3 linked regions of the Neurospora crassa OR74A genome follow. The protein of the gene in region 1 interacts with the protein of each later gene in a pairwise test. Links are inferred from orthologs where the notes say so. Each region holds a gene or a part of one and is shown in the gene's direction. Other genes may lie near its edges.

What was found. The genes of interacting proteins can lie anywhere in the genome.
Region 2: the proteins of NCU01342 (region 1) and NCU07442 interact in a protein complementation assay, tested with the Saccharomyces cerevisiae proteins (2 studies listed by BioGRID). The link is inferred for Neurospora crassa OR74A from reciprocal best matches to the Saccharomyces cerevisiae genes ERV25 and MSC7.
Region 3: the proteins of NCU01342 (region 1) and gpip-2 interact in a protein complementation assay, tested with the Saccharomyces cerevisiae proteins (2 studies listed by BioGRID). The link is inferred for Neurospora crassa OR74A from reciprocal best matches to the Saccharomyces cerevisiae genes ERV25 and MCD4.

Annotation. Positions count from the first base shown.
Region 1 is NC_026505.1:3,710,344-3,713,832, forward strand, and holds NCU01342 (endoplasmic reticulum vesicle protein 25), read left to right. Parts: upstream 1-1,387; 5' UTR 1,388-1,524; coding exon 1,525-1,728; intron 1,729-1,826; coding exon 1,827-1,950; intron 1,951-2,036; coding exon 2,037-2,340; intron 2,341-2,398; coding exon 2,399-2,417; 3' UTR 2,418-2,989; downstream 2,990-3,489. Other genes in the region: NCU01341 (U1 small nuclear ribonucleoprotein C), read right to left, coding at 189-721, 793-900, 957-966; NCU01343 (TPR repeat protein), read left to right, coding at 3,169-3,412.
Region 2 is NC_026501.1:614,542-618,513, forward strand, and holds NCU07442 (betaine aldehyde dehydrogenase), read left to right. Parts: upstream 1-1,172; 5' UTR 1,173-1,342; coding exon 1,343-1,404; intron 1,405-1,487; coding exon 1,488-2,236; intron 2,237-2,304; coding exon 2,305-3,314; 3' UTR 3,315-3,669; downstream 3,670-3,972.
Region 3 is NC_026504.1:3,862,102-3,866,169, forward strand, and holds the start of gpip-2 (GPI ethanolamine phosphate transferase 1), read left to right. Parts: upstream 1-1,268; 5' UTR 1,269-1,469; coding exon 1,470-1,647; intron 1,648-1,712; coding exon 1,713-3,456; intron 3,457-3,511; coding exon 3,512-3,756; intron 3,757-3,817; coding exon 3,818-4,068. Other genes in the region: NCU07998 (hypothetical protein), read right to left, coding at 1-388, 441-496, 582-635. UniProt on the Saccharomyces cerevisiae protein: Ethanolamine phosphate transferase involved in glycosylphosphatidylinositol-anchor biosynthesis. Transfers ethanolamine phosphate to the first alpha-1,4-linked mannose of the glycosylphosphatidylinositol precursor of GPI-anchor.

The DNA of each region.
Region 1 (3,489 bases):
TAACGCCTTCAGCGCCGCCGTAGAATCTTGGTATCGTGTTCCGAGAAAATGAAACCCAATTGTAAACACCAATTGAATGAAATCCGAAACTGAAAGCTGTGAATATTATGCTCGTTTTGGCGGCCTGACCCAGGTTGCTATGTTGTCGTGCCCTTTCTCAAGCTACTCTCATCGTACACCAAACTACTTCACCTCTTGTCGGCACCCGGAGGCCCTTGACCAGGGGCGCCAAAAGGTGGCATACCGGGGAACGCACCTGGCGCACCGGGAGGGGGGAAGGGAAAGTTTCCTGCTCCAGGTGGGGGGAAGGGTAGACCTCCTGGGGGCGGGAATGGCAGACCACCAGGACCGGGCATCGGAGGCGGTACGCCAGGTATACCAGCAGGAGCGCCAGGCATACCAGGAAATGGGGGCATTGGAGGCATTCCGCGAGCTCCTGGCGCTCCAGGAGGAGGAATACCGCCGGGCACGCCTGGGGCACCAAAGGCTCCGGGAGGGGGCACCGGCGCGCCACCGGGCATGCCTGGGAACGGAGGAGGCATGCCGCCAGGGAAAGGCGGGAAGGGGGGAACGCCGGCGCCCGGGGGCGGGAAGCCGAGGCCGGGAGGGACTCCGCCGGGTTGGTTCTGCGGGAGCATAGGATTGGCGTGGGCTTGGCCTTCGGCGGCGTACGAGGAGGTAATCGAATCGATAACGGATTGGGCCTTCTCGTGACCAATCTCTGTAAAACAAAATCGCATTAGTTATGCGGTGAAGTCGGAAATGGTGGATTGGGGGCTTATTGTGCCGTACGTTGGTAGTAGTCAACAACGTTTCGTAAATGGTTACGACCGCTGTTGTGCGCCTTGCGGACGCTCATGGAATCGTGCGTGAGGTACACATCGCAGTAGTCGCAAAAGACTGTACAAGATGTCGTCAGCATCGAGTTGAAGATGAGCGGTCCAAGCAGTACTCACATTTTGGCATTTTGGTAGATTGTGATCGCGAAACCTTTCAAGACGGGGTTATTCGAAATCTCTGTGGCTGCCCTCGGAGAAAGTCGCAAGTTGGATGGCAACAATGATACGGCGCGCGACAACGACGAAGACAAAAGAAGGTTTGCAAGGCTGAAGTGCACTGGACACACACAATGGGACGCGATGACCAAAGCGGGACCAGGTTGGTCCTCGAGGTGCTTGGCAATAGTGGATCCTCTAAGGCTTCCCCAAAAAAGAGCTCCCCTGATCGGTTCGCGGCTGCTGATTGGCACAACAAGGGCACTCCTGCTGTCAAGCCGTTGTGGACATGCTCCAGACCTGTCTCAGCTGTCCTTAAGTTGCCTGCCCAAAGAGAAGCCGCCAGATTTCCCCTAGATCCAAGTCGCGGAGCTATTCCCATTAATACAGACAGCCCACCTTCCGCGATACGATCAGGTCACGCACTGCATAGCTTCGCCGGACTGTGTTGACAACTCGACGACACTTTCAAACTTTTTTTGTCCCGGCCGCCGTCCCACGTTCTAGATCATCCTATCAATCAGCGATCATGGCATCCCTAAAGTCGCTGCTGAGCGGCTTCCTGCTGCTCGCCGGTGCCGCCCAAGCTCTCAAGTTCGACCTTGAGGCTACCTCTTCACACCACAGCAACCAGCGACGATGCATACGGAACTTTGTCAACAAGGACACATTGGTGGTTGTAACGGCTACGCTTGACGGATACAAGGGCGATGGCATGAACGTCAACATGCACGTAGGTGCTCTCCCTCCTGGGTGCAAGTTAAAGGGGCTAGGGGATGGATTATGGGGCGGTCAATTACATGGACGAGTCTGACTTTGGACGCGACACAGATCTCCGATAGCCACGGAAACGAGTACGGCAAGGCCAAGGATATTGCTGGCGAGCAGCGCATCGTCTTCACCTCGCATCACGACGCAGCCTTCGACGTGTGCTTCGAGAACTACCTTACTGGTTGTACGTACATTCCTTGGCCATGACGAAAATTAGCAAAACAACCAGCAAAAGCTCGGATGGGAAACTGACAAGATTGCGATGATCAGCCAAGTATGTCGAGAACCCCCGCCGCCACGTCGAGCTCGATATCGACATTGGTGCCGATGCCAAGGACTGGTCCGCCATCCAGGCCACCGAGAAGCTTAAGCCACTTGAAACCGATCTGCGCCGCATCGAGGAGCTGGTCGGCGAGGTTGTTAACGAAATGGATTACTTGCGCGCTCGTGAGCAGAAGCTCCGTGATACCAATGAGAGCACCAACAACCGTGTTAAGTGGTTTGGCATGGCCACCACTTTCCTCCTCATTGCTCTCTGGGGGTGGCAGATTATGTACCTCAGGGCGTACTTCAGGTTCGTTTTCCCATCTAGCGGAGCAAATGGGTTCAGTTACTAACATAAATCTGCTTAGATCTAAGCATCTTATTTAATGGGCTGGGCGCAACCTACGATGACGACCCACAACTACCACTGTCCAAACTACCTTATTTATTATACGGCTTCATGGTAACGACGGGCGGGAGGTTTTATGAACTCTTTACTACACGCAACGCAGGCGAGCGAATGGCATACAATAGGTTGGAGATTTCTGGTGTAACTATATACGGTAATGTGTTTCAACCAAAAAGTTATGGAGTAAAAAGGAGAATTGACTGCATGCTGAGTGAGCCGTCTACTTTTGGAAGTTCAAGACTATTTGAGAGCGAAAATCTGCCCGGTGCATACCAAGAGAAGTCGCATCCAAAAGGCGTTATGGGCGTCGTGGGCGTTGTTGTGGTGATGAGTCGAAACATGAGCAATTGGCGATAGAGGCACTGGAGACGGTGGCGATGTCATGGATTGACAACGGAGATGCGGAGGGATGAACCGGAACCGGCAACAATTTTTCGGCCTCGGCCCCCATTGTATGATCACTTGCCAAGCCCGCCGAACTAGTGTAAGGGACGGGGTATTGTAGCGTCTGTAATCGGCCCCGAACGGAATCCTACAACAATTCCCATCACTTCGACATCCTCATTTATAAGCCGGAGCAGTTACCTAGTTCGCGCAACGGCACCCTCTCCACACTATCCGCTTCATCCGAGCGATTTACACACCTAACCTTGGCCGTCGCTCTATTTCGGCTACAACAATCCGTCTTCAGTCAGTTCGCCAAAAGCACCTAGACAAATCGTCGCAACAATGGCTTCCTCTCTTCGCGCCCTCCGGCCCGCGGCCGCCACCTTTGCGCGCGCTGCCGCTGTGCGCCCCGCCTCCGTCGCCAGCAGACACGTCATTGCCTTTTCGCGATCGGCCAGCAACGACAGCACAGATAACCAGCAAAAGAAGGACCTCGACGTCGGCGAACTGCAAGGCGCCACCTTCAAGATCGAGCCGCTCCGGAGAGTCGGCGAGGACCCCGCCACCATGCGGGCGCGTCTCCTTTGTACGTTTTATCTCTCCCTTCGCTAATCCTTATCTTCATCACCTACATGTAAACCCAACGAACTAACTCCCCTTCCT
Region 2 (3,972 bases), on another chromosome or scaffold:
TGGGACGAAGTTCGAAGCGAAGGGAACGGGAGGATTAGGGCAGGGAATGGAAGGAAAGGACATGATTTCATGGCCTGCACACATGACTTTTTTGGCTGGATAGTGGTGTTGTTGTTGTAGCTGCATGCTGTGTGCGAAGGATCACACACGGCTTTGGGGAGGGATGGTGGGGGTTTTCATCTATTTCCGTCTTGTTTTTTCTCAGGGTTTTGAAGGCTGCTGTTACTGCTACGTTCTTATACCTGCTGCTGCGATAGTATGTACTGCTGCTTTTTTTTTGGTCCTGTTTCTTTGCGGCCGTCGAATCAACAAATCTACACTACTTGTTGTTTGGTCTTTTTTGGTTATGGCTGCTTTGTTTCTTGTCACATATCATCACCACAGTACTAGAAAAGGCCGGGTCGAGTTAAGGAGATGAAGAGAATGGAGCAAGAAAGCAAGCAAGCAAGCCAAGCGAGCGAGTGAAGAGAGTATAGTATGGTGAGAAAGAAATAAGAGCAAGCCAAGTGAAGTACAACTCAAATCTGCAAAAGTAAAAAGTGTATATTATCTAATGATTCATTAACACCATGCGCACCGTTTTGATAACTACTTTTTGGGTCTTTGGATTCATGAATGGCTCTGTTGAAAGCAAAAGCAAGCGACATACCAGTGGGATGGGATGGTTGTGTGGTGATGAATGAATGCGTGGACTCGCACACTTCAGAAGGATATATGTGTTTGGTGCAGGATTAACTTGCTATTCGTGCTCGTGAGTTTAGGTTTATACAGTATATGTGCTCAACTTCGAAAAGGTTCCAGATCATTTTGTATAGCAGCTCTACCGTAAAATAAAGTAGATATAGACGAAAAGAACCCACGGGAAGGAATCCGCAATGCTTGCACGGTGTTGATAGGTATTGCTTTATATTCCTGGATTTCTTGAACAAGACAAGAACATCATTCCGTGTGTAGTTCAACAAGCTTTCCAGATTTCCCTGTCACATCATAAATGAGACTAGCCTTGGCCCTCGATTGTTTACTCGTCCTGTATGACTACTCCTTCTGAGTTACGTCGAGAAAAGGGGTCGGGGAAAAGAGAACCCTTGTGGCTGGCACTCACAAGCATTGCCTGCCGGGTGGCACCATATATGTGGGGTGTGCCTGCATCAGCTCACGAACACGCGCTTGACGGAACAGCTCCCCCAATAAGTAGCTTACCCCTGGAACTTTTCTTTTTCTCGACTATTTGAGCTTCTCCTACGCTAGACAATTACCGTTGCAAGACTTGTTGAGGCATAGCCCTGCTGTCAAGTTCTTGGGTGGTCTGCCCTTGGCTTCTCCAAGCTCACTCAGCGCAACAATGGCGGCGGAGATACCTAGGAGTCTGCTCGTGCAGCTCCGGACCGCTTTGGAGGATACACCGTACGTGCATAATACACTCTGCCTTTTCCCTCCTACACCTTTCCGGTACGCTCATAACCTTACTGACAAGCCCACCACAACAGGGTAGTAGGAAGCTACATTCCCGAATCATCATGGGCTCTCGTCTGGTCAGCCCTCGCCGCGCTGGCCGTCTGGTACATGGCGAGCCGCGAAGACCAGCCGATCCGCTACACGATTCCTCCCGCCAACTTCCCCAAGGAGGAGAACATCCTTGAAAACCCCTCGATCAAAGCCTCGGGTACCTCAGCGATCCAATGCTACGCCCCTGCCACCGGCCAATTCCTCGGCTTCGTCAACCCCTCGACCCCCGAAGGCATCGACCGCGCTATCGACCAAGCCCACGCCGCCCAGGTCGAATGGGCCAAGACCACCTTCCGCCAGCGCCGCGCCGTCCTCCGGTCACTGCTTCAATACGTGCTCGACAACCAGGAGGAGATCTGCAGGGTGGCCTGTCTCGACAGCGGCAAGACCATGGTAGACGCTCAGCTGGGCGAGATCCTCGTTACGGCCGAGAAGCTGCAGTGGACTATCAAGCATGGCGAGAAGGCGCTGCGCCCGGAGTCGAGGCCTACGAACCTGTTGATGGCGTATAAGAGGAACACGGTGCACTACGAGCCGCTGGGCGTGGTTGCTGCGCTGGTGAGCTGGAACTACCCGTTTCACAACTTGATCGGACCGGTGATTAGCGCGCTGTTTGCGGGCAACGGTATTGTAGTCAAGGTATCGGAGCAGACGGCTTGGAGCTCGCAGTGGTTTACGAGTGTGATCAGGGGCGCGTTGGTTGCGCATGGTCATAATCCTGCGCTTGTTCGTACGTATCACTGGTCTCTTGTTCCTACAGCTTACCTTGGCCCTTGCTAACAAACCTGTTCCGCACAGAAACCGTAGTCTGCTGGCCCCAAACGGCCAACCACATCACCTCTCATCCCAAAATCAGCCACATCACTTTCATCGGCTCCCAGCCCGTCTGCAAGAAAGTCGCCGAATCGGCTTCCAAGGCCCTCATTCCCGTTCTCGCCGAGCTCGGCGGCAAAGACGCCTCCATCATCCTCGCCTCGGCCCCCAAGTCCGACCTCCCTCGCATCGTCAACACGCTCATGCGCGGCACGTTCCAAGCCTCCGGGCAGAACTGCATCGGCATCGAGCGCATCGTCGTCGCCCCCCAACACTACGACACCCTCCTCTCCATGCTCACCCCGCGCGTGCGCGCTCTTCGTCTGGGTCCCACCGCTGATGTGGGCGCCATGATCTCGGATAACGCTTTTGCTCGTCTCGAAGGACTGGTCGCTGACGCCGTTAAACAAGGCGCTAGACTCCTGGCCGGCGGCAAGCGGTACGCACACCCTGAATACCCAAGCGGTCATTACTTCGTGCCTACCCTTCTCGTAGACGTTACGCCGGACATGGCTATCGCGCAAGAAGAGTGCTTCGGGCCCATTATGGTGGTGATGCGCGCCGCTTCGTCCTCGGCAGAAGACATCCTCGCCGTAGCCAACGCGCCCGACTTTGGCTTGGGCAGCTCCGTGTTCGGATCGGAATGGGATTCCACGCTGCACGAGGTGGTCAGGGGGTTGAAGGCGGGTATGGTAGCCGTCAACGATTTCGGAGCTACGTATGCGGTGCAGCTTCCCTTTGGAGGCGTGGCGGGGTCGGGATATGGAAGGTTTGCGGGCGAGGAAGGACTGCGGGGGTTGTGTAATATCAAGGCGGTTTGTGAGGATCGGTTTGGTTGGCTGGGTGTGAGGACGGCGATACCGCGGCCGATGCAGTATCCGGTTCCTGATCAGGAGCGGAGCTGGAGGTTTGCAAGGGGCGTGGTGGAGGTTGGGTATGGGATGGGCTTGGGGAGGAAGGTGGGTGGGGTGGTGGGGATTTTGAGTAATAGCTAGGATCGGATGTCGATATGTTGGAGGTGGAAGGGCAGACGTTGGTGATGCTATACTTGGATTATCTCTAGACGGGAGTGGTTCCGCTGCGGACAACAGACAACGGGTCAACGGCCCGGTATATGCATATACCGTAGATCTTCTTCCCGTTGGGATGAAGAGAAGAGGATGATACGGTAGTCAATAATACCTAATGCATAAGACGAGCCAAGAATAACATTGGCAGTATGATGTGATGTTGGAATCCATGGAACTGGACCCTGAATTGCGTTGATGAGTCATGGTGTCAGTCAGTTTCAGATATCAAGACAAGAAGACCCTTGAATAATCAATGGAAATATTGACATCACATCATATGGCTACCCATGTCTCCATGTGTTAGGTAGTATACACTACACTACAAAAAAAGAAAAGAATGAATGAAAGAGTACAGTACCTAGGTATCCGCCCTTGAAGGCCCCAACGTCTGTCTCCAGCAAAAAGGCTCCAGTTAAAAGCTTGTTTATCAGTTTATTCCCCGCGGAATGAAGGGATTCTTGGCCATGCGGGATGATTGATTGATGACGGACTAATGTTTTCTTGTCTATTGGATGTCTTCCGAATTCAGAATCGCCCGACTGAATCCACCGATATCTTCTACTAGATAGTGTACACAACATAG
Region 3 (4,068 bases), on another chromosome or scaffold:
TCTTCGGCGTACGTGAGAGTTGACGATGGGACGGGGCTGTGGTTTCTTAGCATCATCCTTGATGGCTAGCGCACTTTGAGCGGCATCAACAAGCAGCGTAAGATCCTTGGCTGGGTGAGGTCCGACGCTGTAAACATGTATCGATGTTATTGTCTCGTACTCTTTGAGGACGTCTGCTAACCGCTCCTCCTGGACCAGTACGAGAGTGTATGAGGGCACTTCTTCGTCATCAACCGGGTCCGCGTCGGGAAGCGAAGAAGGCAAGTCGATGTCCATGGCGTTGCCATTTTGATTCTGGACAGACTTCTTGATACCGTATAGCATGTAAGTGGCATAGACAGTCCCGGGCTTCTTGCTGCTCTGGGTCTTGTGGAAATCATAGAGCATTCTGTTTGGTGTAAGTCATTGCTGATTCTTGAATCTTCCGCTCGTTAACTTACTGTTTCGCTACATTTGGATGTACACGCAGGGCCCGACTCAGCAAGCGATAGGTGACCTGAAGTTTGGTCTCATGTTAGTCGCGGCTCTGCACCTTTGAGCTTCAATGCCATCAACCAGTTGTAATCGGGTGGGTGACCTACCACCTTGTCCTCACTGAGGATATTCTCGGCCAAGTACGTCTTGTAATCCTCCATGGCGAGAACAAAACGTTTATTGATCTGAAGACACTACCTTCGTTAGCAGTGATAGCTTGGGCTAATCAAAGTCGATGGAGTCAAGGTGGAAGTTATCAAAAGAGCAAACTAAAGCCGATAAATGATTGATGTGTGAGGCGCGTCGTCGACGTGAATTTGCCCGGCAGGCAAGCCAGCGCTCCCCGCGAAGTCACGTTTAGCGGCTTTGGTTGGTTTCTCGAGTGGCGCCCGTGCGGGGCCCCTGGGTGCCTGGTTCCCGTCTCTCCGCAGGGGAAGGAGCACCCAAAGCACTACTGTAGGTACCTACCAAGTAGCCGAAACTGACCGACAGACACTCTTGACAGGCTGCCTGACAGTTGGCGTGCACCCTGACGGGCCACGAGTTTCAGTATTCCGGGGCTGCCATGCGGTGCAGGTACCTCACTGGCTCAACGCCTAGCCTGAACAGCTCCCCCCGTCGTGGTGGCATTGGCACCATGAATCGCAACTGGAACCTCGAGCTTTACACAGTCCCTTGACTTTTTTTCTTCTTCTATTTTTGGCAGCTGAGCTTTGGTTGATCTTCTTCCAAGTGCCTTGAGGGCCTCTGTGACCCTTTTCCTTCGCTTCAACCAGCTGTGTTAAACTCCCAAGCTCTGCTTCGCGTCCAGGGCATACCATTGAACGAAGCCCCCCCCCCCCCCCTAACTTTGTCGACATCCAACTGCTGCGCCATGATGCGCCCGACTTAATATCCACGATTCGCATATACAACAGAGCTCGATATAGTAATTGTACAATTTACGCATACGTCCATCCTTGAACGGCCATTTTTGGCCTCAAATCGACTTCATCATGGCGGCCTTTCCACGGTTCAGGTTTCTGGCCATCGCCGTCATCTTTCACTTCGCCTATATCTTTTCCATCTTCGACATCTATTTTGTCAGTCCCATTGAGACTGGCATGCGCCTATTTAATGTTCAACGACCCCCAAATCGCAGTGCGCCAGCGGACCGGCTGGTTCTGTTCGTAGGTAAGTGGGCTACTCCGAGCCTAATGTGTTGCGGCCAAGCGCTAACCACGGTTTCATTCTTCCAGGAGACGGCTTGCGCGCCGACAAGGCCCTTCAGTCCCACCCTGAACCATATCCCAAATCCGATGCCGATCTGACTCCGAGACCTCTCGCCCCCTATCTGCGATCAAAGATCTTGGAACAGGGAACCTTTGGTGTCTCCCATACGCGTGTGCCGACCGAATCTCGACCCGGTCATGTTGCCCTCATCGCCGGTCTGTACGAAGATGTGTCAGCCGTTACGACAGGATGGAAATTGAACCCGGTCAACTTTGACAGCTTGTTCAACCGCAGTCGGCATACGTGGAGCTGGGGCAGCCCGGATATTCTACCAATGTTCGAGCAGGGAGCTGTCCCGGGGAGGGTTGACGCCTACACGTACGGACACGAGTTCGAGGATTTCTCATCCGACGCCACCCAGCTCGACCTCTGGGTCTTTGACCATGTAAAGGATTTCTTTGCTGAGGCCCGCAGGAACAAGACGCTTGCTGAGGCGCTTCGCCAAGACAAGATTGTCTTCTTTCTGCATCTGCTAGGTTTGGATACTACTGGTCATTCATACCGCCCTTACTCGAAGGAGTACCTCAACAACATCAAGATTGTGGATCAGGGCGTGAAGGAGGTTGCTGAGCTCTTCCGCGACTTCTACCGCGATGGTAGGACTGCGTTTGTATTTACCGCGGACCACGGCATGAGCGACTGGGGAAGCCATGGTGATGGTCACCCAGACAACACACGGACCCCCCTGATTGTTTGGGGTTCAGGGGTTGCCAAGCCTCAGTTGTACCCAGGCGAAGTGGCGCCCGGCCATGATGAGTACTCTGCAGACTGGAACTTGGACCACGTTAGGAGGCATGATGTCGCTCAGGCTGATGTTGCTGCTCTCATGTCCTACCTTGTTGGCGTTGAGTTTCCTGCCAACTCGGTCGGCGAACTCCCCCTGTCTTACCTTGCTGCCGACATCAAGGAAAAGGCTGAGGCTTCGCTGGTGAACGTGCAGGGTATTTTGGAGCAATACCGGGTGAAGGAGGAAAAGAAGAAAGCCACCGAGTTGAAGTATAGGCCGTATCAGCCATTCGGAGAAAACGGCCTGTCCCCAGAACGTCGTGTTGCCGAGATTCGCCAGCTCATTGACGCTGGTCGGTATGAGGAAGCTATCGAAGAATCAGCTGCCCTTATGAAGGTCGGTCTCGGTGGCTTGAGATATCTCCAGACCTACGACTGGCTGTTCCTGAGAGCGCTCATCACCATCGGTTATCTTGGCTGGATCGCCTATGCTCTTACAACAGTCGTTGATTTGCACGTCCTACATGGTCGTGTGCGACCGTCGAGAACGCTTGGCGGGGGCTTGTTCTTCACATCGGTTCTCGTTGCTCTTTATGCGTCCCTCGTCATTTCAAAGTCACCCCTCACTTACTATGTCTATGCCTTCTTCCCGGTCTTTTTCTGGGAGGAAGTTTATGCGCATCGCGAAAGTCTGGCGGCAGGTCGCAAGGAGTTGCTTGGCCATATCAACTCAGGTGGAAGTGTGGCTTCATTCGTGCTCAACAGCGCGCTTTATGTTGGCGTCATTGAATCGCTTGCCCTGGGCTACATCCACCGCGAGATTCTTTCCGTTCTCTTCGTGCTGGGTTCCTTCTGGCCTTTCACCCACGGCCTGTCGTTCCTCAAGAAGCATGGGGCGCTGTCTGCCACCTGGTTCCTCGCCTGTATCGCCATGAGCACGTTCACGCTCCTCCCGGCGATGAAGGCAGAGAACGTCAATCTCATGTTCGTATACCTACCCCTTAATTGTTGTTTCTCCCACTCACTAATTGGTGCGTAGTACTATCGGAGGCGTATTGATGGTCGTCATCGGCCTTCTTTACCTTATCTTCGAGGACTTTGTCCTCGCGGACTTCTCATGGAACGCGAAGCCTACTTCCAGGAACCACCTCTCCAGGTCACTCGTCGGTATTCAAGTGGGCCTCACTGTACTATCTATCATCATCACTCGCTCCAGTGCCCTTTCGCTGCAGGCCAAGCAAGGCCTGCCTCGCGGCAATCAAATTATGGGTTGGGTTACTCTTGGTAAGTCCTCGCAATGCCTGCCGCAGCTGGTGACTCTTCTCTAACCCAAGCTCAACAATAGTCGCATCACTACTCATGCCCTTGGCCTACCGTTTGCGGCCCAACAACCACTACATGCACCGGATCCTCGTCATCTTCCTCACCTGCGCTCCGACATTTGTCATCCTCACCATCTCCTACGAGGGCCTCTTCTACCTCGTCTTCTCCGCTCTTCTCGTGAGCTGGGTTCGCCTCGAACACGCAGTGCAGAAGTTCACCTCCTCCAAGGCACCACAGACCGCCGCCACCAAGAAGCCAACAACAACCACGGAA